Bombyx mori: one gene and its partner. The protein of the gene in region 1 interacts with the protein of each later gene in a biochemical or structural test. Links are inferred from orthologs where the notes say so. Each region holds a gene or a part of one and is shown on either strand. Other genes may lie near its edges.

Region 1 (12,350 bases):
TAATAGTAGTCTACTACGCGTGAAAGAGTAGGTGATTTCAGTCTCAACCTGAGAGAAATTGCTAAAACCAGCTATAGCAAGAGCGGTACCGGATCGGAATCGCGACACACGGACAAGATTGACAAGATCCGACGAGATACTCAGTGGGTTGTGTCCATGGGTAATTTAGCTTTAGTTATTGCCTATATGTGGATGGCTGCATTTACGTTGTGATTTATGGCTTCCAAAAACTATTCGAAACCAAATGGACTTTGATCCCATTTAGAACATAAAAAATATCAACTGATACTAATTTCAAACTTTATTTTCTGAAAAGACATTTAGTTTATTCTACGAAATGTCCCTGAAAGCGATTGGTGGCGTTAAAATTAAATCGTTAAAATTATAATTAGATGCATTGTTCAATTCCTCATTAATTTCATTAATCGTTTCTATCATAAGGGTTTCATCGGTAGCCCTATCCTCGTTATCTATTGAATGATCGAATGAATTGGAACATTCTCCTATAACCTGCGTTAGTGCTTCTGATAAATCGTCATCACTGAGTGAATTCTCATGTTCCGTGCTTAACGTATTTTGGTATTCTTCAATGTAATGATTACTTTCATTTAAACAATTTGGAGATAATTTATTTAATTTAGTATTAACGTTTTCTATACCAATCGTTTGTATGTCTTCGTCAATGTACGTATGAGATTTGTTCTTTATAGTTTTCATGCTTGTCAATAGTTCATTGGAAGATTTGATTTGTGGGTATATCTCTGTAGCACCGGGTTTTTCATTAACTGTTAAAGACTCGGTATTTAGTCGTTCGGGTGTTCTATTATATTCCAATGGTTTTTTACCACTGCCACTGGGATTATTTGAATAGCCTTTTTTAGGGTCACTTGACCAACATTCGTTACTTGAACTAGAAGGATTGTTGCTGGTTTGAATTTTTAATTTTTCAACGAGTTCAGCATTATTTTCTTTGAATTTGTTTATGGTGGCTTCCAAAGCTTTCTCTGAACCTCCATTTTTTCTATATTCTTTTTGTAGCTCTGCATTTAAAATATAAAGTTCTCTTTCGTCATTTCTTTGCGGCAGGCAGGTTTCTGGCGTCTGGAATATAATAATACAAAGATTTTAACTGATTTAATCCTTAAAATTATCTTTTGTGTTATTTGTTGAATTTACAAAAATTCACTCATAATAATTACTTTCAGTGTTATTTGACTTCGATAAATAGACTGAGAAATACCTAAATCAAATTAATCAACTTAGAACTATATAGATTTAAGAACTCAGGCGTACTAAATTTATTGTAATTTATACGATACATTCAAAACTCTCTGGTTGGCTTTATACCTTTGTAGGTGATTTCTCTATGCTTAATAAAATTATACCATTAGCATTACAGTCTGTCTACCATGTGGGAGTTTCTTCTGAAAAAGTTTTCCTGTTATGATGCTTGTTGTTTATTAAATAAACTTTGACTATATCTCTATAATTTTCCATATTTTCCACATAAGAGCATGCCATAAAACTTGGACTAGTAAAATAGAAAGCCAATCGCTGTAGTCGGGAAGGGGGTGTACCGATGACATCATAAATGAATATCTTCGAGAAAAATCTTACAAATAATTTATTTATATTAATATTCTTATTTATGTATAATACTTAACCTCTTCATCAATGGTCATAAGTTCTGCTAGTTCAAATGCAAGTTTTACGGTGTCTTCTGGTAAATTTGTTTTTGCTGCCAAAGCCAATCCATAGTTTTTTATATTCGTAACTCCTAATTCTATTTTATGTTCATAAATCAGTTTTTTATGAGAATCGTTCAGTTCATCAACGTTTTCTTCCTTAACAGTAGTATGGCGACTACAAAATTATACGTATCGTCGTAAGCAATAAAGTAAAAATTGCCTTAAAATTTAAATCGTTAGTTAAAATATCAAATAACTCTGAATTTTATTCCAATTTACCCCAGTTATCGACATTATATTACAAGATGGGATTCATATCGCGTGTATGATGATAAGTTATCGTTAAAACGAAATGACTTTTTAGCCTACACACATTTTTAATGCAAATTTGAAAAACAATTTTTAACACACCAAAAAATATTAAAAGAATCAAATAAAAATGATAAACTTGCGGTTGCGAGTCTAATTTTTGTTTAGAAACAATAAAATGACAATTGTTAATGTGATTATTTTTTTCTTGTTAGTTTTTGCTTAGAGCGTACTACATACTTGACCACGTTGTAGTAAAGGTGTTGCAATTTCGTCAAATATAAAAAGTGTGTTGTGAAGAACGTGAAAGCGTCAGATAATATTAATTCTTCACAGATCGCCCAAGCTATACTGACTCCCTCTTCGTATGTTGTACCGCTGGATAAATATTCCATATTATATATTTACATAGAAAGGAAATTTTATACATAATTTTTTCAATAATGTCTTTAAATAGGTACTGACCGACAGAGTTCGTCTATTATGACCAGGCTTGATGGCGTCAGTCCTTTTAAAATATGCTGCATCTCTTTCATCTGTCATAGAAATACTAGTTTAATTTATATTAATGTTATTAAATATTCTCTGAGTTGGAACAGCTTCCCTTAGTTTGCCGCCAGGGGCGTTGTTCGAACTCCACACAAATCTTAATTAGCTTTCTTTTACGCGATCGAGAAGATAAAAAAACTCGCACTGAGCACACAGATGTGAAAAATTGCTAACAATTACGTATAGTTTTTGTGTTCGAAATTTTCAGATACATGTATCCAATAAATACTTTAAAAGTCACACTTTACTTTAAATGTAATGAGAAATATTACCTCGAAAACAAAAGTAGAAGCGTTCAACTCAACGCTGTCGTTGAAACCGATTCTCGAAAATATTCTGTCACTAAGTCGCAGTACAGCATTAGTAGCGGGCAAGAAACAACCAATCTGCTTAGTAATTTAAAAGCAGTTATAACGTTACAATATATAATTAGGCAATGGTACACTACTGGTGGTAGGGTCTCTTGTGAGTTCGCACGGGTACCACCGCCCTGCCTATTTCTGCCGTGAAGCAGTAATGCGTTTCGGTTTGAAGGGTGAGGCAGCCGTTGTAACTATACTGAGACCTTAGATCTTATATCTCAAGGTGTGTGGCGCATTTACGTTGTAGATGTCTATGGGCTCCAGTAACCACTTAATACCAGGTGGGCTGTGAGCTCGTCCACACACATAAGCAATAAAAAAAATAAAAATTGATTTAATTAAATTAGAACGCTTTCAACTTATTTTAATACGCTTTTATTAAATTCATACGAAGGTTAGTATGTATGTTCGTAATATCTCAAAAAGCACCTCACGCTTTTTACAATTAGTTCATTTTTGAATCGGATTTTTTATAAAAGCGTGTTTTTTAGTTTTTTTTAAACTATTATTTATATCCTTTTAGTACAGAATTTTACTTAATGCAATCAAGCAACAAATTCGAAGCCTAAAAGAAATTCGAGATTACTAGTGTAAAATAAATAGGATATACTCTGTTTTTAATTGGTAGGCAGTGGCCTAGAATTGTTGACGTCCATGAGTGACAGTAACCACTCACCATCAGGTGGACCATATTATTATGCTCTTCTGGCAATATTTTCTTTTTATTTCAAAACATCGATAAATCATTTTAATGTATGCTATTCTCAATCGAAACATTTATTAAATTGGTCATTCATGAAGTTATGATAGCTAAATTATTGGAAACTCACTTGCGCCATAACATGCATAATAGCAATCTGTTTTATATAAACACTTTTGCCGCCCATATTCGGACCGGTGATTATAGTGAAATTGTATTCTGGGCTGGCATTCTATAAAAGTAAAAGAGATACTCTATAAATAATTGATGAACGTGAAAAAAGAAGTTTTCAATTCTATGATTTTATTTCGCGCGTTTCTTACTATGTCATTTGGAACTGGCATCACGTGACTGTTATAATCCAATAACGGATGGACGCTGTTTCTTATTTCTAAATAGCTGTTAAATTCCGGTCTGATATACGACCCTACCATGCTAGCCTGGAACATATAAGAAGTTAAGAGGTACGAGTTATAATGCTTTTGTTCCATTAAAATATGTACAATCCGAACCTGTGCTAATGCCAGGAGGATGTCAATTTCAGCAACGTTCTCGCATAATTTGTACAGACTCGACATGTATGGCCTTAAGTCTTTCAATAATGCGTCGATAACTCTGGAAATGTCGTATTTAGGAAATAAAACTTGTCGAACATGTTTTAGTTTAAGAAAAAAACAGATATTTAGTGACCGGAATCGGTTATATTTAAAAAAATATTAAACTAACATGTTACTCATTCTTTGTATTTCATTCAAAGATTCCTTTGCCTGTTGATCGAGAACTACAAGTTCTTCAGTCGACATCGATACGCTGGCTCCGTTGTTGTGTACCTAAATATGAAACTTAAAATATGTGTAATTAGATTTATTTTTAAGGTTTCATTTTGATTTTCTTATTTATTTATTAATATTTTAATTGTATCTCGATTTTCCCGACATAAAACATTGAAATCATTGGCCTACCTTTCTTCTTTTTCTTTTTATTCGGGCCGGGACCGAACCTCCTACGAGGTCCCCGCGCCTAGAGGGCGCGCGGGGTATGTGGGCCTGGTCCGCGACTGCGAAACCGCGGGCCCAAGGATGTTTTCAGAGCCCTATCCACTAAACGACTCCCTTGCACTCTTCGCCCAAGCGTCCGATCCCCTCCGAGGTCAGGACCCGGAGGTAAGGGGGTTACCGCGGTCAAAACTACAACCAGGCGACGCAGCTCACCCCAAGGACGCCCGGCCGACGGAGCCTTCGAGGATTCATTCGATCATTGGCCTACCTGCCTTCCTTGTCAAGTTTCACGTATGTCACGTACCTACTTACCTGTATGAAAATTGGGGGCAGATCTTCAATACTGAAATTGCGTCTGTTTTTTGGAGCTATAGGTAAAACTATGTGGAATCCTTTCATAACGTTTTGGTTTAGCCGCAGAGGCAGGTCGTATGTCTCGCTGAGCTGTTCGACAATTTTCTGTATGTCATCTATTAATTCAGAATACGTCCTTCTGGCCACATCAAGGAGTCCGTTAATGTCGGGCTTGACTGCAAAACATCTTTGGAGATTTCCCATAACACCCTTCTCGAAATGCGCGTCGTCTTGTATGATATTTTTTATGCGTTCGGCAATTTCATTGTAATGTGGATTTTCGAAATCCTGGATAAGAAACATTTGGATAAATGAAAACGGACCTAATTTATTGAGTAATTGAAAAACGAAAATTGCTTAAACAGCAAACCTGACCGTTTTAAATTGTCTTAACAGACCACTTTCGGCACGATTCAAAGCTTCAACTAGTTTTGGTACCATATTCATTGTCGTTTTTAGAATTAACACTTGATTGAGCTGCGCCTCTCCTAATTTGTCAGCATTTTGAATATTATGCTCAACGCACAAGAATAATATTTTATCAATATCTGATAGCCTTTTCAAAATGTCCTGAAATACGTTCAGCTATTAACATAAGGTGAGCGACAAACAGCAATATTGATCGACAATAGTCACATTCCCCACCTGTAAATCAGCCATCAAACCATTGTCATTTTCAATTAAATCTTGAAGAACATCTAGTTTTGATTCAATTAATTGTTTATTGCAAGACGGTTGCAAGATAGAAGCCCTCAATGCCCTAATCCCTCCAACAGTATAAGTCGGGCCAAGCACACCAAGAAGACAACACATTGGTCCAGCCGAAGGAACTAAAGGCTGAACTAATTCCAGTTGCGTTGCCGTACCTACGTCTAAAGATATCGTTAATCATTTTAAGTTTTTCCCTGAATACTTTATTAAGCAAAGTTGTTTCTTTACCAATAATCATAGTGTTTTCTGACGAATGATAATCGACTTTGAGAGATTCTCTTGCGAAAACTATACATTGGATGTGTTCTACATATTTCAGCACCGCTGCTGCAGCGGTTAGTGCGTAAAATCTTAAATAAAAATTACGCTTTTTTTTAAAATTGCGAACACAAAAATTCTAATCGATTATTTGTTTTTTTTTTATTATTTGAACGGACTTATGCAGTACTTGGAGATAAGCCCCGCTGTATTGCGGTGCGCAAAGCGTCTGTATGTTCTGACGGCCTGCTGAATCATTGAAATGCCTCCTTTGTACCGTCGTTAGGGTACACAAAGGGAACTGGTCTTTTATCAATTGATAAAGTTGATTCGGTTTCACGCCCTCGCAGAATGTGTGCGGCACAATTATCTGTAATGTTGCGTGATAATTGAGCGAGCGTTATACCTATTAATGACTAGCCGTGCTCGCCCGCTTCGGTGGGCATTTAAAATTAACATTATTATTTATTGTCATTATTCCTATCCATTAAGTACATGTATTTTCTACATGGATACCAAGTTTCAAGTCAATTGGATGCATGGTTCAGTAGTTATAAACGGAACATTCGTAAAAACTACTGTAGATTAATATATAGGCTAATATTTATATGACTCCCTACACCAGTTGCGGGGGCGTCAATGATGAGAATGTTTGTGGGGGTGAGAAATAATAATGTTAATTTTAAATGCCCAGCGAAGCGGACGAGTACAGCTAGTATTAGTATAGATATACATACATGTACCCACGAGCTGCGTTAGTTATTACATTACCTCAACTGGATTGAAGTAGTTTATTTTTGTTAGTGTGTGAGTGTATAAGAGCGTGTCACTAAATTGACACAGTACTAGATGTGGATGTTTTAGATCGACGGCTGCCATTCCTATTTCCCCGCGGGCCATTCCTCTGCCTTCCGATATAGCTAAACAAAACACGTTCATATTTCTAAATAATATTGATATGTAGATTTTAATAATATTTTACATTGCGTAAAAAAAATTAAGCGTACGGAAAATAAGACGAGGCAAAATAATAAGATGTATATTTGAAAAAGACAATTTTCTCAAGATTATTGTGTCAATCATATTTTTTATTATTTTTTACCTAAAATAACACTAGCTTCTACTGCGGACACGCTCGTTGATCTGCCCGATCTGGCGCCGCTATAACCACCTAAAACCAAGCTAAAGTTTGATACATAATTGATGAAACAAATACATAATAATTAATATAATAATAACTGTATATCAATGACATGCTGTCTATTGATGGCATGCATTGCTATGCGGATGACAGCACGGGGGATGCGCGATATATCGGCCATCAGAGTCTCTCTCGAAGCGTGGTGCAAGAGAGACGATCAAAACTTGTGTCTGAAGTGGAGAACTCTCTGGGGCGAGTCTCCAAATGGGGTGAATTGAACTTGGTTCAATTCAACCCGTTAAAGACACAAGTTTGCGCGTTCACTGCGAAGAAGGACCCCTTTGTCATGGCGCCGCAATTCCAAGGAGTATCCCTGCAACCTTCCGAGAGTATTGGGATACTTGGGGTCGACATTTCGAGCGATGTCCAGTTTCGGAGTCATTTGGAAGGCAAAGCCAAGTTGGCGTCCAAAATGCTGGGAGTCCTCAACAGAGCGAAGCGGTACTTCACGCCTGGACAAAGGCTTCTGCTTTATAAAGCACAAGTCCGGCCTCGCGTGGAGTACTGCTCCCATCTCTGGGCCGGGGCTCCCAAATACCAGCTTCTTCCATTTGACTCCATACAGAGGAGGGCCGTTCGGATTGTCGATAATCCCAATGTCACGGATCGTTTGGAACCTCTGGGTCTGCGGAGGGACTTCGGTTCTCTCTGTATTTTGTACCGTATGTTCCATGGGGAGTGCTCTGAGGAATTGTTCGAGATGATACCGGCATCTCGTTTTTACCATCGCACCGCCCGCCACCGGAGTAGAGTTCATCCGTACTACCTGGAGCCACTGCGGTCATCCACAGTGCGTTTCCAGAGATCTTTTTTGCCACGTACCATCCGGCTATGGAATGAGCTCCCCTCCACGGTGTTTCCCGAGCGCTATGACATGTCCTTCTTCAAACGAGGCTTGTGGAGAGTATTAAGCGGTAGGCAGCGGCTTGGCTCTGCCCCTGGCATTGCTGAAGTCCATGGGCAACGGTAACCACTCACCATCAGGTGGGCCGTATGCTCGTCTGCCTACAAGGGCAATAAAAAAAAAAAAAAAAAAAAAAATAACTGAGGACAAAACACGCACGGCCGTCCGGCCCCAAATTAGGATTCCTTGTGTTATGGGTACCAGAGACAAACATACATACTATGACTACTTTTAAATACATATGTATATAGATAATAAACACCCAGACAAAGAGCAAATAAAACTGTTCGTGATGGGAATTCGCTCCGGGCATTTCAATATTGCAATAATTGTTATGTTATAATACTCATTGTAAAAATTAATAATAATAAAAAACTAATATTAAAAAAAAAGAAGAAAAGAGACATGCCCGCTGAGTTTCTTGCCAGTTCTTCTCAGGACGGAGGCTGGTTTTTGTGAATTGGCGGTAGTTCTTTTTGACGTTCAACAAGTATGTACTTTCATTTATGTTGAATATTTTTTTTTATTTGATTTGATTTGATTTTAATGTTTGCTTGCCCGATGTGGGAATCGAACCCACGAGCCCCGGCGCAATAGTCAGACGCGCTAACTACTGCACCACCGAGTCAGTTAGAATTATATAATCATCATCACTATTAGCCCACAGTCGTCCACTGCTGGACATAGGCCTCTTCCAATCCATACCAAGTATATAATATTTAATCTAATTTAAAAAAAAAATGCATGCAAAGAAAAACCTTTTTTATGTAATTTTTATTAAAACCTTTTTAGTTTAAAAAAAAAGGATCTTTCTTATATAGATTGACTAAACTCTCTGTCATTGAGAAAAAATACGAGTTCAGTTTTATTTAACTCAAGAATACTGTGTAAAATTATTTGTGAAAAATAAAGGCTTTAAATGTGGTTTCTATAACAATATTCCATAACCACTATTAGAATATTCCATATGTATTCCATGCCATATTCTATATATTTTTATTGCTTAGATGGGTGAACGAGCTCACAGCCCACCTTGGTGTTAAGTGGTTACTGGAGCCCATAGACATCTACAATGTAAATGCGTCACCCACATTGGGACATGGGTTCTAAGGCAGAAATAGCCAGGGCGGTGGTACCTACCCGTGCGGACTCACAATAGGTCCTACCACCAGTAATTACGCAAATTACCTATATAATTTTGCGGGTTTGATTTTTGTTACACAATGTTATGCCTTCGCTGTGGAAGTCAATCGTGAACATAAATTGTTAAGTACATATTTCATTAGAAAAATTGGTACCCGCTTGTGGGATTCGAACAGCGTTGCATCGCTAGATACGATTGCACCGGACGTCTTATCCTTTAGACCACGACGACTTCATCAACGTCATTCTATTACCTACATACTTCTTAAATCGCTCGTGAGTTATGGAAGAAAGCTGTTTTTGAAACTATTTGAAGACAAAATTTTGTACTGAATAAATTAGTTTAGGAACTTTGAAAATGTTAACATTTTTTTTACTACTACAACATTAAAAACAATTACCTCTACTACTACTGCTTATGTATCTCAAGGCGGTTGGCCGATTCCTGGGTGTGCGCATGTCGTTGGAAGTATCAGCGGTGGAATCGTTAGCTAGTACTGCGGGCATCTGTCTTCCGCTTGAAGACGACTCTAGTCTTGACGAGATCGAGCTTATTAATCTATAAAGTTTTAATCTGAGCTGAAAAGTTTGTACAGTCGTGCAATCAAGTGTTATTTCGATTTTGGAACAAAACCCATTTTTGTAGACCAATGTCGTATACCATTATATGAAGTACACTAATGGTCTTCACTGTGGTAGACGATGGTAGAATATATTATAGTCCAATAGAATCGAATCCAAAAAATACTCATGAGTTATTAGCACAAGGCAAGCATGTAGACATTTCTGAAGTGCGAGATAGTTGTTATTTAAAGGATTTCTGATGACCTACTTAATTATGATTTAAATATGTATGTAGGTACGTGAACAACACATAAGTACTAAACAAGAATTATAACTGGTTATCTATAATAATATATTAATACGTGAAGCAAAAACTTTGTACCCCTTTTTACGAAAATTGCGCGGACAGAGGAGTATGAAATTTCCCACCCTCATAGTTTATATAGAGAAGGAATGCAGAATGCTAATAACTTTTTAAAATTATACATAAACATACATTAAATCAATAAGAAAAACATTACATACGCTACCATGTATGTATTTGACGCATACATAAATACTCTTTTGTTTATTGTTAGTCTGTGGTCGAATTGAAAACAGAATAATATAATTTGTCTATAGTGTAGCCTTGGCCAAATTTGTGAAAACAAGTTTATTGACAATAGAACCCTAACAATGTACAAACTTATATTTGAAATTAATTATAGTCGAATTTCGACCACTAGGCACTTTCACATTAATAATATTAGTATGGATAAATAGATATTGTAGTTTTTATAATTAATTATATGGCTACTATAAAAATATAAATAGGTAGCCTGGCGAATGTTTTTTTTCTATAGAGCGCTTTTAGAATTTGTCAAATGTCTATGGCATAATCAATAATTTTAAGGTACCTTTTTTTGGAACTAGGCGGAGGCCTTGAAGGAGGTCCCATAGATGACCGTTTGGTTGAAGTTTTCACGGCAGCATCGAATTGATACCTAGGACCTTTCATCGTATTTTTACTTGCACTACAGTATGAGGACACTGGCAGTAGGGAAGTACCGCGTATACCTACAAAATGTTCTTGTTATCTACTAATAAAGGTTAAAGTGTGAAGTTTCCGTCTTTAGCGTAATGGTCACACGGAATTAAAAATAAACTTACAGGATTCAATAAAGACTAGAGGCAGACAGAGTGTTTTTACAAACGTAGGTACTAAAATTGTAGGTATCACTTTATTATTTAATGTTGAGACTTTCGATTGTTTTTAATACAATTTCTCAGTTAAACCTAGACACCTTAAGAATTGGAGTAATTCTCGACGCGGTTGTAACCTAGAAACAAATATGCAAAAGAACGGAAAATATGCCGCGTTTTTTTTCTTTTTTTTATTGCTTAGATTGATGGACGAGCGCACAGCCCACCTAGTGTTAAGTGGTTACTGGAGCCCATAGACATCTACAACGTAAATGCGCCACCCATCTTGAGATATAAGTTCTAAGTTCTCAGTATAGTTACAACGGCTGCCCTACCCTTCAGACCGAAACGCATTACTGCTTCACGGCAGAAACAGGCAGGGCGGTGGTACCTACCCACGCGGACTCAGAAGAGGTCCTACTACCAGAGATTAAAAGGAATTCCGAGTGTGAGCCGGTCCACGCGGGCCCTATTGACCAACGCATCTGACACGGCATTGTTAAAACTACTAAGTAACTACTACCTCATGTATTTTATCCAAGTCGACCGTTTATACTGCGGATATTTATAGGGTACTCGATATTTCGGCCCTGTCGCAAGGGTAATGAATCACGGATAGAAAAATCTGTGTACCCTTCTCTCCTATCTTTCTACGAATTTCTTTTTGCCCTCACTGAACAAGTAATAGACAGAACGAACTTATTCACCATAAGATAGATTGAGTTTCATAAGTTTCATTTATTAACTACTGCAGCTATAGACGCAGTATTATAAAAAAAGGATAAAAACGTGTCGAAAAATAGAATCGATAATTTAGATGTCCGCGAATGAATACGTTCTAATGTGTTTTTTATGTAAGGTGGTATCTTTACCTTCATCTTTTTTCAGTATGGCATTATGGTTCGTTGCGATTCTATTTTACAGTCAATCTAAAACTTTATTTCACCATCTCGGTTTCGATAGCAGATTAACAAAAATAAATAAAAGTGCTAACCCAAGGATGCGTCTCTTCTTGCAAAATCTGCTGTAAAGTTGGTTCGTGTTTTGTTTTTACCAGTTGTTATTTCCCTGTGTACTACGTTCATGTTTAACACTTTATTCCTTACGTATTTTCTTCATAAAAAACAACCCTTCTATTTAGTTAAAATATTAGAAATTCGCGCCTTTTCTGCGACCACGAAATAAAATTTATTTTTGTTGTCCACTCGGACAGGCAAATGGGTCTTAGCCCATCCAACCTAATTTTTAGTTTTAAAATGATGACCCTCTTTGTTCTTTTTTTTTCAAGAAATGCTATCAGCTTCTTACTATACCATTGTTGCTAGTGTCGAGTCTATAACAATAGTTTTACAGTTATGTGGGTGATTTTTAGAGAATGGGTAGCTTATATATAAGGTACAGCCATAGGCTCTCTTAATTATAAACAG
Region 2 (12,350 bases), on another chromosome or scaffold:
AATGGATTTCAATTTTAGACCCAAAGACTGGTATCAGAAAGATGTTTTTCTCTGTTATCAAAGAAACTGTCTTTAGAAATGTTGAGCAAAGTAAGGTCATTAACTCTGCGTCCCGTAGCCAGCAACATGGTTGTTGGTGTCCTTCAAGCTACATTGAGGCGTGATGTGGTGGCTGGGTTTGAAGAAAACCAGTTTAGAACTATTCTCGGATCTCATGTGAATGGGACTACACTTAGTAAAATTGTAATAAGTAGTTGAATTTTGTTTAGCTATTCCGATGGCTTTTTTAAAATAGCAATTTTTATTAGAGAGCTTGAGAATGTTTGCTGTCCTACATGTATTTCGCCCACAGAAAGTCGACAGCGCTGCTTTATGATGCAGAAGGATTGTTTTATAGGCAAAATTTTCTTTTTGGAAAAGAAGAAAGAATTTGGCAACATCTGCAGACTTAGGATCAATTTTAAAACTGTAGCACCATATGCACCATATGCACCATCTTCTAGTTGCTGGTAAGTATGCTGACAAAGTGGATTGACACCAGCTAATTTTCAATAAATCTTCTCCTGTTTAGACCAGTCTATTATTTGTACAACCCCCCCCCCCCTTTCTAAGCTTTCAGGGTTAATGTTTAACCTGTGGAGGAGGCAGGTTTTGGATTTCGTGCGAGTTATCTAGCGTTCGGGATCTGAGGGCTTGGAAACCCAAATGCTTTCGCTCAGTCTGGGAACACTACCAGGTAGGTTCCCTAGACACTGTTGAAGTGAGTCAGTACTTTGGGGAGAAGGTTGAGAGGAGGAATTCTCCATGCTAGTTGCATCCTCTACGGTCTGCTGAAGGTATCTAATCTTGGTCGGCGAATGGGTTTATATCCGGATGACCCCACTTTCGAAAAACTTTTGTGGTCACTTGTGGTAAAAAGTGCCATTTCGCAGGTTGATTTCCTCGTGATAGCCTGTCGGCTATGATGTTGTATCTCCCCGAGAGATAAGCTGACAGTTATCTTGAACTTATCGCTTAGGTTTAAAAATCGAAAGGTCAACGTTAGTGAAATACTTTCAGATTCATTTTGATTGTCACTACCATTACAAATAGCTCTTTTGTGGGTGAGCCGTTTCTGTTGTTGAGCTGACCATAGACAGGACGTTAATATTTTGTCTAATTGTAACCCCTACCCATGTCCGAAGCTTCCGTTGCCAGGAAATGGTTGGTTTTGGGTCTCGGCAATGTTTGACATGTGGCTCCGCGTCAGCACTGCATTTGTAACCCCTTTTCTTGAAACTTCGCAAGAAAATTTGCAAGTTAGCATAGATTGATGTAATTCCGTCAGAGTTTGAGCTAGGATGTTGTTGAGTGGCCACTTCATTTCTCGCAATTTTCCATCGAATCCCTAGACATGTCATCTCTTGAACCAGTGTACTAATTGATTTTTTGTAAGGCTGACTTGGCAGCCCAAATAATCCAAGAGTTTTACAGCTTATGTGGCCTGGAGACTCAACTTGGACTTCTTTTGATGGACCTGGTGGGATTTGCGTAGGTGGGATAACACTCAACATCCCTTTGCACGCAATGTTTCCGCGACCGAGCATGCTATGCAAGCAAAAAAGGTGTATTTGTCTTCATGGACCAAGAAAAAGTCGCGTAGGTAGGTTAACATTTGACTTCCCTATGTACGTAAGGTCTTCGCGACCGAGCATGCTATGGGAGCAAAAACGTTTATTTGTCTTGGTGAAACAAGATCATGTCGTGTAAGTAAGCTAGCACTTCGATTTTGCACGCAATGCCTCTGCGACCGAGCATGCTGTGGAAGCAAAAAGGTGTATTTGTCTTCAAGGACCAAGAGAAAGTCGCGTAGGTACGTTAACATTTGACTTCCCTATGTACGCAAGGTCTCCGCGACCGAGCATGCTATGGGAACAAAAACGTTTATTTGTCTTGGTGAAACAAGATTAAGTCGTGTAGGTAAGCTAGCACTCGATTTTGCACGCAATATCTCCGCGACCGAGCGACCGAGCGACCGAGCACCCTATATAATGGAAATTGACATGCCAGCCCAGATAATCCAAAACCTTCACAGCTTCTGCAGCCTGAAGTTTCAACTTGGATTTGTTTTGGTCGACCAAAAGGAAGTCGTCTAGGTAGACTAGCACTCGAGTTCCTTTTGCACGCAAGGTCTCTGCGACCCAGCATGTTATGGAAGCAAAAAAGGTTAATCCAAAAGCTTCGCAGCTTCTGCAGCCTGAAGTTTCAACTTGGATTTGTCTTGGTCGACCAAAAAGGAAGTCGTCTAGTAGACACTAGCACTCGAGTTCCCTTTGCACGCAAGGTCTCTGCGACCCGCATGTTATAGAAGCAAAAAGGTGTGGCTCTGAAGCCAGATCGAAGGGTAGGCATGTCATTTCATACTAACTCATAAGAAGGTACCGATTCCTTCCTGGAGGTACTGATACTGGTACCTTGGTACTGATCCTCAAGAAGTATCGACGAAATTTTGCGACTGATACTAGAAAAATATTCCTGAGAAATGTTCAATTCTATCATCCAGTCCCCTGGGTGGAGAAAGTTTGGTACCTAGGTGTCCGAAAAACAGTTGGACGCATTGATCCGTCGCTTTTCTTCCGCAGAAAATTTTTTTTTTGTTTTTTTTTTACGGTATTTGGTAACCATACATGGTTTACAAATTATTACAATTTTGGTGGCACTCAGTGCCTCCCGTCGGTGTCTTCAATTGCCCCCCTCTGGATTGTGCCAGATGTTACGGACTATGATTGTTTATAATGTTTGGCTTACCTTTTGTACGAGATCGTGACAAATAGGATTGTAGCCCTCCGAGGGACTGAATAGATTTCAATTTACTATTATCAAACAAAAATTCCTCAATGAGTGGTGCGTTGGCAACAGGATACTTTGTTAGAGACCACGGAAATTAAACTTTGACGTCTTATTTCTATACATACGGCCCTTTTTTCCGTATACAATTTAAAACGCTTTTTACGGGTAACTTGTACGACGGAGACGATTTGTCAAAGTTTTCAGTAATTATGTTACAAAGATTATTAGTTTAAATCTGTTGTGTTTTTGTCAAAATTTCCGTATTGACGAGATCAATTTGTTTACAACAATTTTCGTTACATTCAATTGTTACACACAGTTGATGCATTATTAGATTTACAACGTCACTGACCTGGTGGGATAACGAGCCGATTCGAAGATCGACCGTTACCTTTGAATCCCGTCGTTTCTTACGCAGAGACTCCTTTTGTTCTTTTTCGCTTGACGAGCTGTTCGAACGCGAGGCGTCTCCATCGCGTCTCGCCTGGACATCTTCCCTCTCGGAAATTATGGAGCTTGACTCAACATCACCTCCAACAGATGACGCGTGATTCATGGCGTCCGATGATAGGATTGGTAAATAATACTCGTAATGATTGCAAAATAACACTCATAGAAACACAAAATAAATATTTTTTGCAATTAATAAGAAGTCGAATAAATATTAGTGGACTTGCGACTTCACAGTACGAAAGTACACAACGCTATGAAGATCAAAGATGGCTGCGCTCCCTTTATACTTGCTGGCAGCACCTAGCGGCTAAGGATGGAACTAAATTGACTGTCTATGGTTGGACATAGACAAGGAATCTAAGCTAAGTACACACTGCTTCTTCATAATACAATGCTGTATGTTTTCCAAAGGCACATCAATACTTTATTTGGCATGATTTGGATTTTTTTAAGATTTTGAAAAGTTTAATCATATGTATTTTTTCGTTAAGCGAAATACATCGATTTCAAAGTACAGGAGATGTTTATGAATTTGTCTATAGTATTTATCAGGAGCCGTCTGAGGGTGCAGTGTCTCATATATTAAGTGTATAATGTATGGTGCAGTGGATGACCTGCAGACAGCGCGCCAGTAGGTCGGCGCGGCGCAGCGCGGGTGCGCCCAGCCCGGCGGCGGCGTGGCGCGCCAGCCCGGCGCCGGCGACGCCCGTCCGCGCGCGGTACAAGAACACGGGGGAGCCGTCGCGCATTACGTGATCGAATGTCTGACGCAACAAACGTATTTATCTGCGGTTTCACATTTACCTTCAATATTTCAAATATTCAATATACTACAATTTCTACCGCAAAGTATCACTTGTCTTAGAGGGGTACCTACGACACTTGTTCCTATTCCAAACGAATTGAAGTCTCAGTCTTAAGTAGACATGTGGTGACGAACCGCAACCCCAGTGTGGTCAGTTCACGGAGGGCCCAATTTCGGCGGTCCGTGCTGGGGTCCTGGTCTAGGCGGCTGGCCGATCCTTCGGCTGGTCGTAGGACCGTCGAGGCGATTCGCTTGGTCCTTGTAAATTGGGTGAATCGTCGAAACGCCTCACTTTCCGGCTCACGCAGGTGCTCACTGGGCATGGTTGCTTCGGTGAGTTCCTGCACCGGATCGGAGCCGAGCCGATGGCAGAGTGCCACCATTGTGGTTGCGACTTGGACACGGCGGAGCCCACGCTCATCGTCTGCCCCGCATGGGAGGGGTGGCGCCGTAACCTCGCCGCAAAAATAGGAAACGACTTGTCCTTGCCGAGCACTAATGTTCGGCGGCGACGATTCACGGAAGGCGGTGCTCGACTTCTGCGAGTGCATCATCTCGCAGAAGGTGGCGGCGGGGCGCTTGAAAGATGCATAATCCCGCTACTGTCGAGCGGGGGCCAAGGAGGCGAAGCTGGCCCAAACCCTGGCCCTCTAAGTGTTTCGAGTCCTATCACATAGCGGTCTGGGGATCGGCGAAAAGCACCTAAGAAGATGACGTGCAAACTGCTCTGCACGCGTTTTCCGCAAGAGCATGGGTCATGAAAGGCCGGCTATAATCGACCCACGCTGGTTCTGACCTAGCGGGGTATTCTCATTTTAGCAAATTCTAGCAAACCGCCATCTAGACGGGCTTCGGATAGCCTACCGACCGAGAGGGCTAGTGGTCGACGACCACTGGTCTGCCTTTTCATGAGTTCTTGCGAGGTTCGGACGTGTGTTGTTGAGCGACTAGAGGTTTTAGTCAGTTTGTCTCTGACATACCCCGCCCTTCATCTCTAGTGGAATGCGGAAGTCCGGTGATTTCCTCGTGACCAAAAAAAAGGTCGTGGTACCGCTTTACATAGCCTGAACTGTGAACTTGGTTGTTAGGTTATTAAAATAGAATATAATAAAAAATGTTCTATAAGAATGGCGTTGTCAATATTACCAAGAACGTGAGTAGTGGCGAGGGAGCGATGTAGTGGTGCAGCTGCAGGAAGTGCGTGGCGAGCAGCACGTGCGGGCGGCGCGCGCGAGCCAGCACGGCGCCCAGCGCGGCCGCCAGCAGGGCCGCCCCGTCGCGCCGCGCTGTGCCTTTGCCGAACTCGTCCACCAGCACCAGGCTGCTACTCGTCGACTCTTGTAGAACCAGAGCCATCTGAAATGCTCCTAACTTTCGGTGCCTGTGTTTTGATACCGGCACCCGATCTATTTACTGGTGGTAGGACCACTTGTGAGTCCGCGCGGGTAGGTACCACCACTCTGCCTATTTCTGCCGTGAAGCAGTGATGCGTTTCGGTTTGAAGGGCGTAGCAGCCGTTGTAACTATACTGAGATCTTAGAACTTATATTTCAAGGTGGATGGCGCATTTACGTTGTGGATGTCTATGGGCTCCAGTAAAGACTTACACGAGGTGGGCTGTGAGCTCGTCCACCCATCTAAGCCTATCACCCATAAAAAAAAAGAAAAAAACCGGCATCCGATCTATTTCTGCCACAAAGCTTTTCTATTTGAAGTTTGAAACAGCCTTTAAACTATACAATTTAGACTTAAAGCTCATGTATCTAGTTCAATAGCGGCATTAACATTGTGATGTCAATGGTTTCCAGATTAGGAGTGGGTAATATCGGTTTTGCCGCGTATCGAATCGTATCTATATATCGAGGATCAATATCGGATATTGAATCTATATATTTTCTGAATCTATATATTGATGGATGCTAGTAGATTTTCTCGATTCATGATATTTGAGATTTGAAACGATACGCTGATATAATATCGTAGTAGATATAGATTTAAGTCAACGTTATACGGTTGGTTTTCTGATATCAATTTATAATATGATCTTAAAGTAATAAAAAGAACATGAAAATAAAAATATCAAAAAAACTTTCCTTCATGCTTTTACCAGGCTTAGGACTGGCTACATTATTTTCAGTTTTTAGTATTTTGTGTCTTAATTTAAAATTACAAAATATACCAAAAGAGTGTAGATTTCAAAAGTTTAATACAAACACAAGAAATAAACTCAATTATTTGGATTCAACTAAAAATAGAAAAATGTGTACTTTAAAAATCAAACCCTAAAACTTTTAAGTATTTATAAACACTTGTCCAAAAATTCTAGTTCAAGGTCAAAGCGCGTGAAATTAAATTCAACGATGCAAATAGGTTATACTGCATTCAAGTTAGGGTCGAAAGTTGAAACTTCTTTCCTTAATTGTATCCTGCTGATACACTAAGAATAATCTACAGACATATGGACTTAAATATAAGGTTTACAATTGTATGGATAATGCCTGTTTCTGTTTCATTCATCACATGATATCCCTATCGTGCGCTCACTCACTCTGGCCGATTCGATACGAACCAAACGAATATTGCTGATATTAACGAATCGGTACGATATGGCGATGCGCATCACATCGAGCAATATCGTGTATCGGCTGATATCGAAATATAGATTTCGATTCACGAATCGGTACAATATGGCGATGCACATCACATCGAGCAATATCGTGTATCGGCTGATATCGATATATAGATTTCGTGCGGGGCGATATCGGATTCAACGATATTGCTGCGATATATAGATATTGAATCTATATACGATTTATATCACCCACTCCTATTCCAGATATCACTTGACATCAGATAGATATCACTGAGTTATAAGTGAAAGCACTAAATAATTATATTTAAACGTTTAGACAATCAATGACAGTACACGTATGTGCTATTTTCGTCACTTGGAGGCTGACGTCTTCAACCATTGCATACAAGCAAAATTGCAAATAACTTATCTACGTCTTTAGTTACATATGTAACAAAGAAAAAATATTCTAGAAAGTTCTCTGCAACTTTTTCGATGTCAATATTTGTATATATTGGCTGATCTTTAACCATTAGAATTATGTACGTATTCAATTCTAAGTAATCTAATACTAGTACAATACTACTAATATTACAAGTACAATACTACTAACAATGCTAGTAATAACCTGTCTCAAATCTATTAGGAAAGCTGACATGTGCGCTGCGATGCATTCAGTTGACTGCATCCTTGTGAATATGTGACTCACGATGCCTATGACAGCCGAGTCAGCCGGCACGAAGCTACCGATGTGAGCTAAATACACTATCAGACCTGGAGATATTAATAATGTTTTAACAACTATGCTCCTGGTCAATTGGCTGATTGCCTGAGGAATGAAATTAGTATATTAGGTTTTAGTAGTTTCGTATCTTCACCCTACCGAACTTTTGATACTGTGAACTGCCCGTGTGGTGGAATGTAAGCGACATATTATGAAAATTATTTATGCTTACTTCTAAGAGTCACATCTGCCACAGGTCAGTTGCGAGTTCAAGTTAAGCTATTTCTATAATCGCATCTATTATCAGAAGTCACAAAGTCACCCAAAGTGCAATAGAAAAGGCGCACGGAGTTTCCTTACGCGATCGGTTCAGGAATGAAGAGATACACAGGAAAACCATGATAACCGATATACCTAACACAAAAGATGCCGATTTTGAATTGGCAATGGCAGAACAGGGCACATCTCACGTAGAATGTGGCCGTTGGATCTCGTGTAAAGCAGAACCGATCATTGGGGCGAATCATGAGGGGTACCTATGTCCAGCTGTGGACATATGTAGACTGATGATGATGATGATAGATGCACATGATGTCCTTTACTTGATGAAATAATCTTAGCATCACATGAAACTCAATTTAACTGTCGACCTATTTTAAGACATGATTGTGTTGAAGTTATGCTCTTCAAGATACGAGACCAAATCTAAACCTAAGAGAGATCTAATTTCGCGGCAGACAACGACGGTGACTTTACCCAACACTAAGCACCCGCATGAATATTCTATTTTTTTTAGGATTGAAGGATTAGTGGTGGCCCGGAGGCCTTTCCAGTTTCACCAGGACAGGTGGGCGAGCAATAGCTCAGCCAGGAGGGGTGGGATTTGCTAACAGCTGTCCGAGCGCCTCCGAAGGAAACCTAACAACTCAAGAGCAGCTGCTTCGCGAATGAATCTACTACCGGATCAGAATCGCGACCTATTGAGAAGATCCGGCGAGAAACTCAGCGAGCTGATTCATGGGTTAGGTTGCATGTCAAACTTTTTGTCGAGTTCGACGAGTACGGTTTCCGGGGTCCCTAAGCCTGCTCCTAGTGTTAGAGCTGGTCCGACAAGGTGGTTCGACCAAATCCGCACCACACTAGAGATCCCATTCCACGACGCCCTTCATGCGGCCAATGATCGGAGGAGCTGGCGGGACATCACAAGGAGTAAAATTATGTCGAATTATAATGGTCACGACCCTCAGCAGTGAGGAAACGATGCGAGGAGGAGGAGAGTGTTAGAGCTGAAGGCGTCACTTACCTATCTGCTTCATATAAACAGATTTTCCACTAGAGTTAGGGCCGGTCAGGATTTTAACGCAGCCAACTTGTTCGTTGCTCTCGAAGTCGTTGGGTACGAAGGCCTCGCACGTGGTCATGTGTAAGGGGTGCTTCCCTTGCTTGATACTGATCGACTTAGTCTCGACTAGAGTGGGCTGGGTGTAGCCGAACTCTTTACTAGTTTTCGATATTGCTATGAGACTGGGACAATTCAGTGGAACTTTATATTGATTTTATAAAATTTACGAGGAAGATAGCGTTTAAAAATAAACTACGGCTTATTTATATAAAATGTAGTGCTGTTATTATGATTTTGGGACGTGTTATTCGACTTGTACAAAAACATAATTTCCCAATATTCATTCATTTTCAGAATAGATACGTCCTCTCTATGGTTCAGAAAATTAAGGTTTTTATTTTATAGGATGGAGGAGGTTATTGAACACACAAAGGCATTTCTAGTTCCGCCAGGAAGAATGAGATTTGCTAACAGCTACCCCAGTGCCTCTGAAAGAGTCTGACAGTTCGATTTCCACCTCATGTGTCAAGGTGAGTGGCGTCATGCACGTTGAGATATGTATGGGCTCCGATAACACCAGTAACACCGGGCAAAAACATCTATGTTATAAAAAAGAAGCTCTTGTATCAGAAATATCTTTGTAAACGATTAAAAGTGACCACATTAAGTATCGATAAACTAACCAATCTAGCATTGCACAGTTATCGATAACGCTAGCCAGGGTGTGGAGGTGCTCAAGCAGTACTGCAGTCAGCCTCATCATGATGCGGGTCTCATGAGCTACTATCTCGGGGTACGTGTCGCCGATCATCACGTCTAGTTCTGACAAGTTAATTATTTATAAAAAAAAAAATTAAAACAAGAAACTAAATGTTACAGATACTACATACATACATACATACCTTCGCAACCCTTACTTTTGTAGTGAACGAACTCGTTGTTCTGAAACTGAAAGCAACGTACCTAACTATGCAGTAAACATTACAGCACTATATAGATTATTCTATTTAAACACTAGACGTACCAGGCGGTTTCACCCGCGTTCTGTCGGTAATTTTGAAAGGTTAGCATTCGCTGCGTTGTCCCGGGATAGAGAGTTGTGTCGCCCGCTGGGTCAACAACTACCAGCCGATGAGTAGTGATTTGTAGGCAGCGGCTTGGTTCTGCCCCTGGCATTGCTGAAGTCCATGGGCGACGGTAACCACTCACCATCAGGTGGACCGTATGCTCGTCTGCCTACAAGGGCAACAAAAAAAAAAAGAGTAGATTTATGGGTACGAAAACTCACGAACCAGAACTGTCAGATTTACTTTAAGATATATTTATGCGATTATTTCATCAAATTATGTTTGTTTCTTTTTTTTTGCTTTGATGGATAGACTAGCTTACAGCCCACCTGGTGTTAGGTGGTTACCGGAGCCCATAGACAATAAATGTAAATGCCGTACATGAGACTACATTGCCATTGAGACATGAATTCTAAGTCTCAGATTTACAGTACAACTTAGTTTTTGTGTGATTAAGTAACAAACGTATACCCATTCATACAGTATCGCATTAATAGTAAAAGATGTTTAATTGATCTCTCGTCTTCCTCGGTTTCAGCGATCACTCGAAATTCGTAAGCCAATGTGAAGTTGTGGCCCAGATGTCTAGTTGTGAAGCCAAAGAATCAATTCAAACCGAGACGAGTGGTTGTTTTGTTGCAAGAGTGAACAGTGTGCTTAGTGCGAGTTTTTTAACGTTCTCGATAGTGTAAAAGTTAACTCAAATTTGTACGCAGTTGGGACGTTGGCCGCTAGGGGTGCCGTTTCAACTGCATACGAATTTGAGTTAACGTTTACGCTATCGAGAACGTAAAAAAACTCACACTAAGCACACCGGACTGTAGACAACGTACACGTACTACTTACAGCGAGAGGAAGATGCGATCATAAGCTATATAGATTATTTTTTGTAAGAAATATCATTATTGCCGTAAAAATGAAATATTACCAATGAATCTAGTCACACTTTTATAAGTTTAAGAATCAGGGACAGATAAATGAACTTTATACTAGAGAGAACATAAGGTATTTTTATAGAGCATAATTGAAGACATGAGTGGATGAAGGGTTGAGTACCATTTTTAAGATTATTGAGTTTTTACATTGAATGACGATATTATGTGCCTATAAACCATATTAGACCTTAAGACTCGAGGTTTAAAGGCTATTTTTAGAGATTGCATGTGATGGAGTTGTGTACGAAGAAAAAGTACAAGTGACAAAAGTTTGTTGCCCGTTTTCTCAAAATTAAGAAATTGTATCATATTCCCTTCATCCACTCATGGCTTCAATTATATTAAATGATACCATCACGAGCGTGTGGTCCATCCTGTGTGAGGGTTGCCGCGTGGGGCCATGCCTTTGTGACACAGTTGTTAGGATAGCCGTCTTAAAATACAATTACAAATTCATGTCTCAAAACAGATGGCGGCATTTACAATTATGTCTGTGGATTCACACCGTACCAAAGTACCTAGAGTACCTAGTACCAAATAATTTCATCATTGAAGAAATATGTATAGAGCCTCACCATAAACTTCAGGCCGGGTAGCTCTTCCCTCGCCCCCATACCGTCCCAAACTTTCACGGCGAGTAAGTACCCTAAGTGCGGCATGTAAAGCATGCTGCATTCTTCTATAAAAGAGGGCAGTCTTTCCAACTCCACTTTAGCAGTTTCCGACATGAGCCCGTGGAGACTGGCCATTGTTCGCTTTTCTGATTGTTTTCAAATTATTCAAGACAACTTTATATTATATGTGTAAGTGACTTAACATGACACTAGATACACTTTTTTTTTTTTTTAATTCTTTATTAGAGCCATACTAGATACACAGATAAGGTATAAAAATATACTAATTGGGATTGAATGTAATGAAATCACGGTAGGCAGCGGCTTGGCTCTGCCCCTGACATTGCTGAAGTCCATGGGCGGCGGTAACCACTCACCATCAGGTGGGCCGTATGCTCGTCTGCCTACACGGGCAATAAAAAATAAAAAAAAGGAAATTATTGTGAAATCATGGTATGTACTAATTTAAGTTTTATTTTCAAACATGGCATCATTGGTTCTATAACAATAGCTAAATAGAGATAAATCAAGAGATACATAGAAAATCTTGAGGAATTACATACATATGTACAAATTCATAATACTTACTTCGATCTAATTCAGGATCCACGCCGGATTTTACAGTGAACTTTCCTTCAGTTTTAGACTGATCGAAGTCTATAATGCGATTCATGTATAGGGCCATCTGGTATAAATACAAAAATATCCAATTGATTTCATTATACTATTATATCATTTTCATTACTAATTCAAAAATGTACCTACCTTGATAAAGTTTATTTTAATAAATTATAAAGTCATGTAGGTCAGATTTCGACCATTTGTCTTATATGTTGTTGACGGTACTGACATTGGTGTCCTAGCTTGTTTTTGTACAACTTATTCGCTACCTTGCCCCACCTTGGTTGCCTAAGAGGTTATTCCAACTTCACGCGGACGAGTAGGTGAGCTCATGGGCTCAACCTGAGAGAAATTGCTAGCCAGCCCTAGCCCTAGCAGTGCTTCGCAG

Evidence for each region.
Region 2: the proteins of mutS protein homolog 4 (region 1) and mutS protein homolog 5 form a complex in vitro, tested with the Homo sapiens proteins (2 studies listed by BioGRID). The link is inferred for Bombyx mori from reciprocal best matches to the Homo sapiens genes MSH4 and MSH5.

Annotation. Positions count from the first base shown.
Region 1 is NC_085114.1:12,567,869-12,580,218, reverse strand, and holds mutS protein homolog 4, read right to left. Parts: upstream 12,239-12,350; 5' UTR 12,009-12,238; coding exon 11,918-12,008; intron 10,798-11,917; coding exon 10,638-10,797; intron 9,737-10,637; coding exon 9,579-9,736; intron 7,101-9,578; coding exon 7,032-7,100; intron 6,850-7,031; coding exon 6,701-6,849; intron 6,300-6,700; coding exon 6,109-6,299; intron 6,022-6,108; coding exon 5,900-6,021; intron 5,833-5,899; coding exon 5,606-5,832; intron 5,531-5,605; coding exon 5,336-5,530; intron 5,249-5,335; coding exon 4,919-5,248; intron 4,439-4,918; coding exon 4,335-4,438; intron 4,224-4,334; coding exon 4,121-4,223; intron 4,049-4,120; coding exon 3,932-4,048; intron 3,841-3,931; coding exon 3,739-3,840; intron 2,933-3,738; coding exon 2,819-2,932; intron 2,534-2,818; coding exon 2,463-2,533; intron 2,376-2,462; coding exon 2,238-2,375; intron 1,864-2,237; coding exon 1,665-1,863; intron 1,102-1,664; coding exon 331-1,101; 3' UTR 284-330; and 1 more. UniProt on the Homo sapiens protein: Involved in meiotic recombination. Required for reciprocal recombination and proper segregation of homologous chromosomes at meiosis.
Region 2 is NC_085111.1:1,003,175-1,015,524, reverse strand, and holds part of mutS protein homolog 5, read right to left. Parts: intron 12,027-12,350; coding exon 11,930-12,026; intron 11,488-11,929; coding exon 11,303-11,487; intron 9,674-11,302; coding exon 9,628-9,673; intron 9,548-9,627; coding exon 9,409-9,547; intron 8,908-9,408; coding exon 8,687-8,907; intron 7,434-8,686; coding exon 7,288-7,433; intron 5,444-7,287; coding exon 5,234-5,443; intron 4,047-5,233; coding exon 3,897-4,046; intron 1-3,896.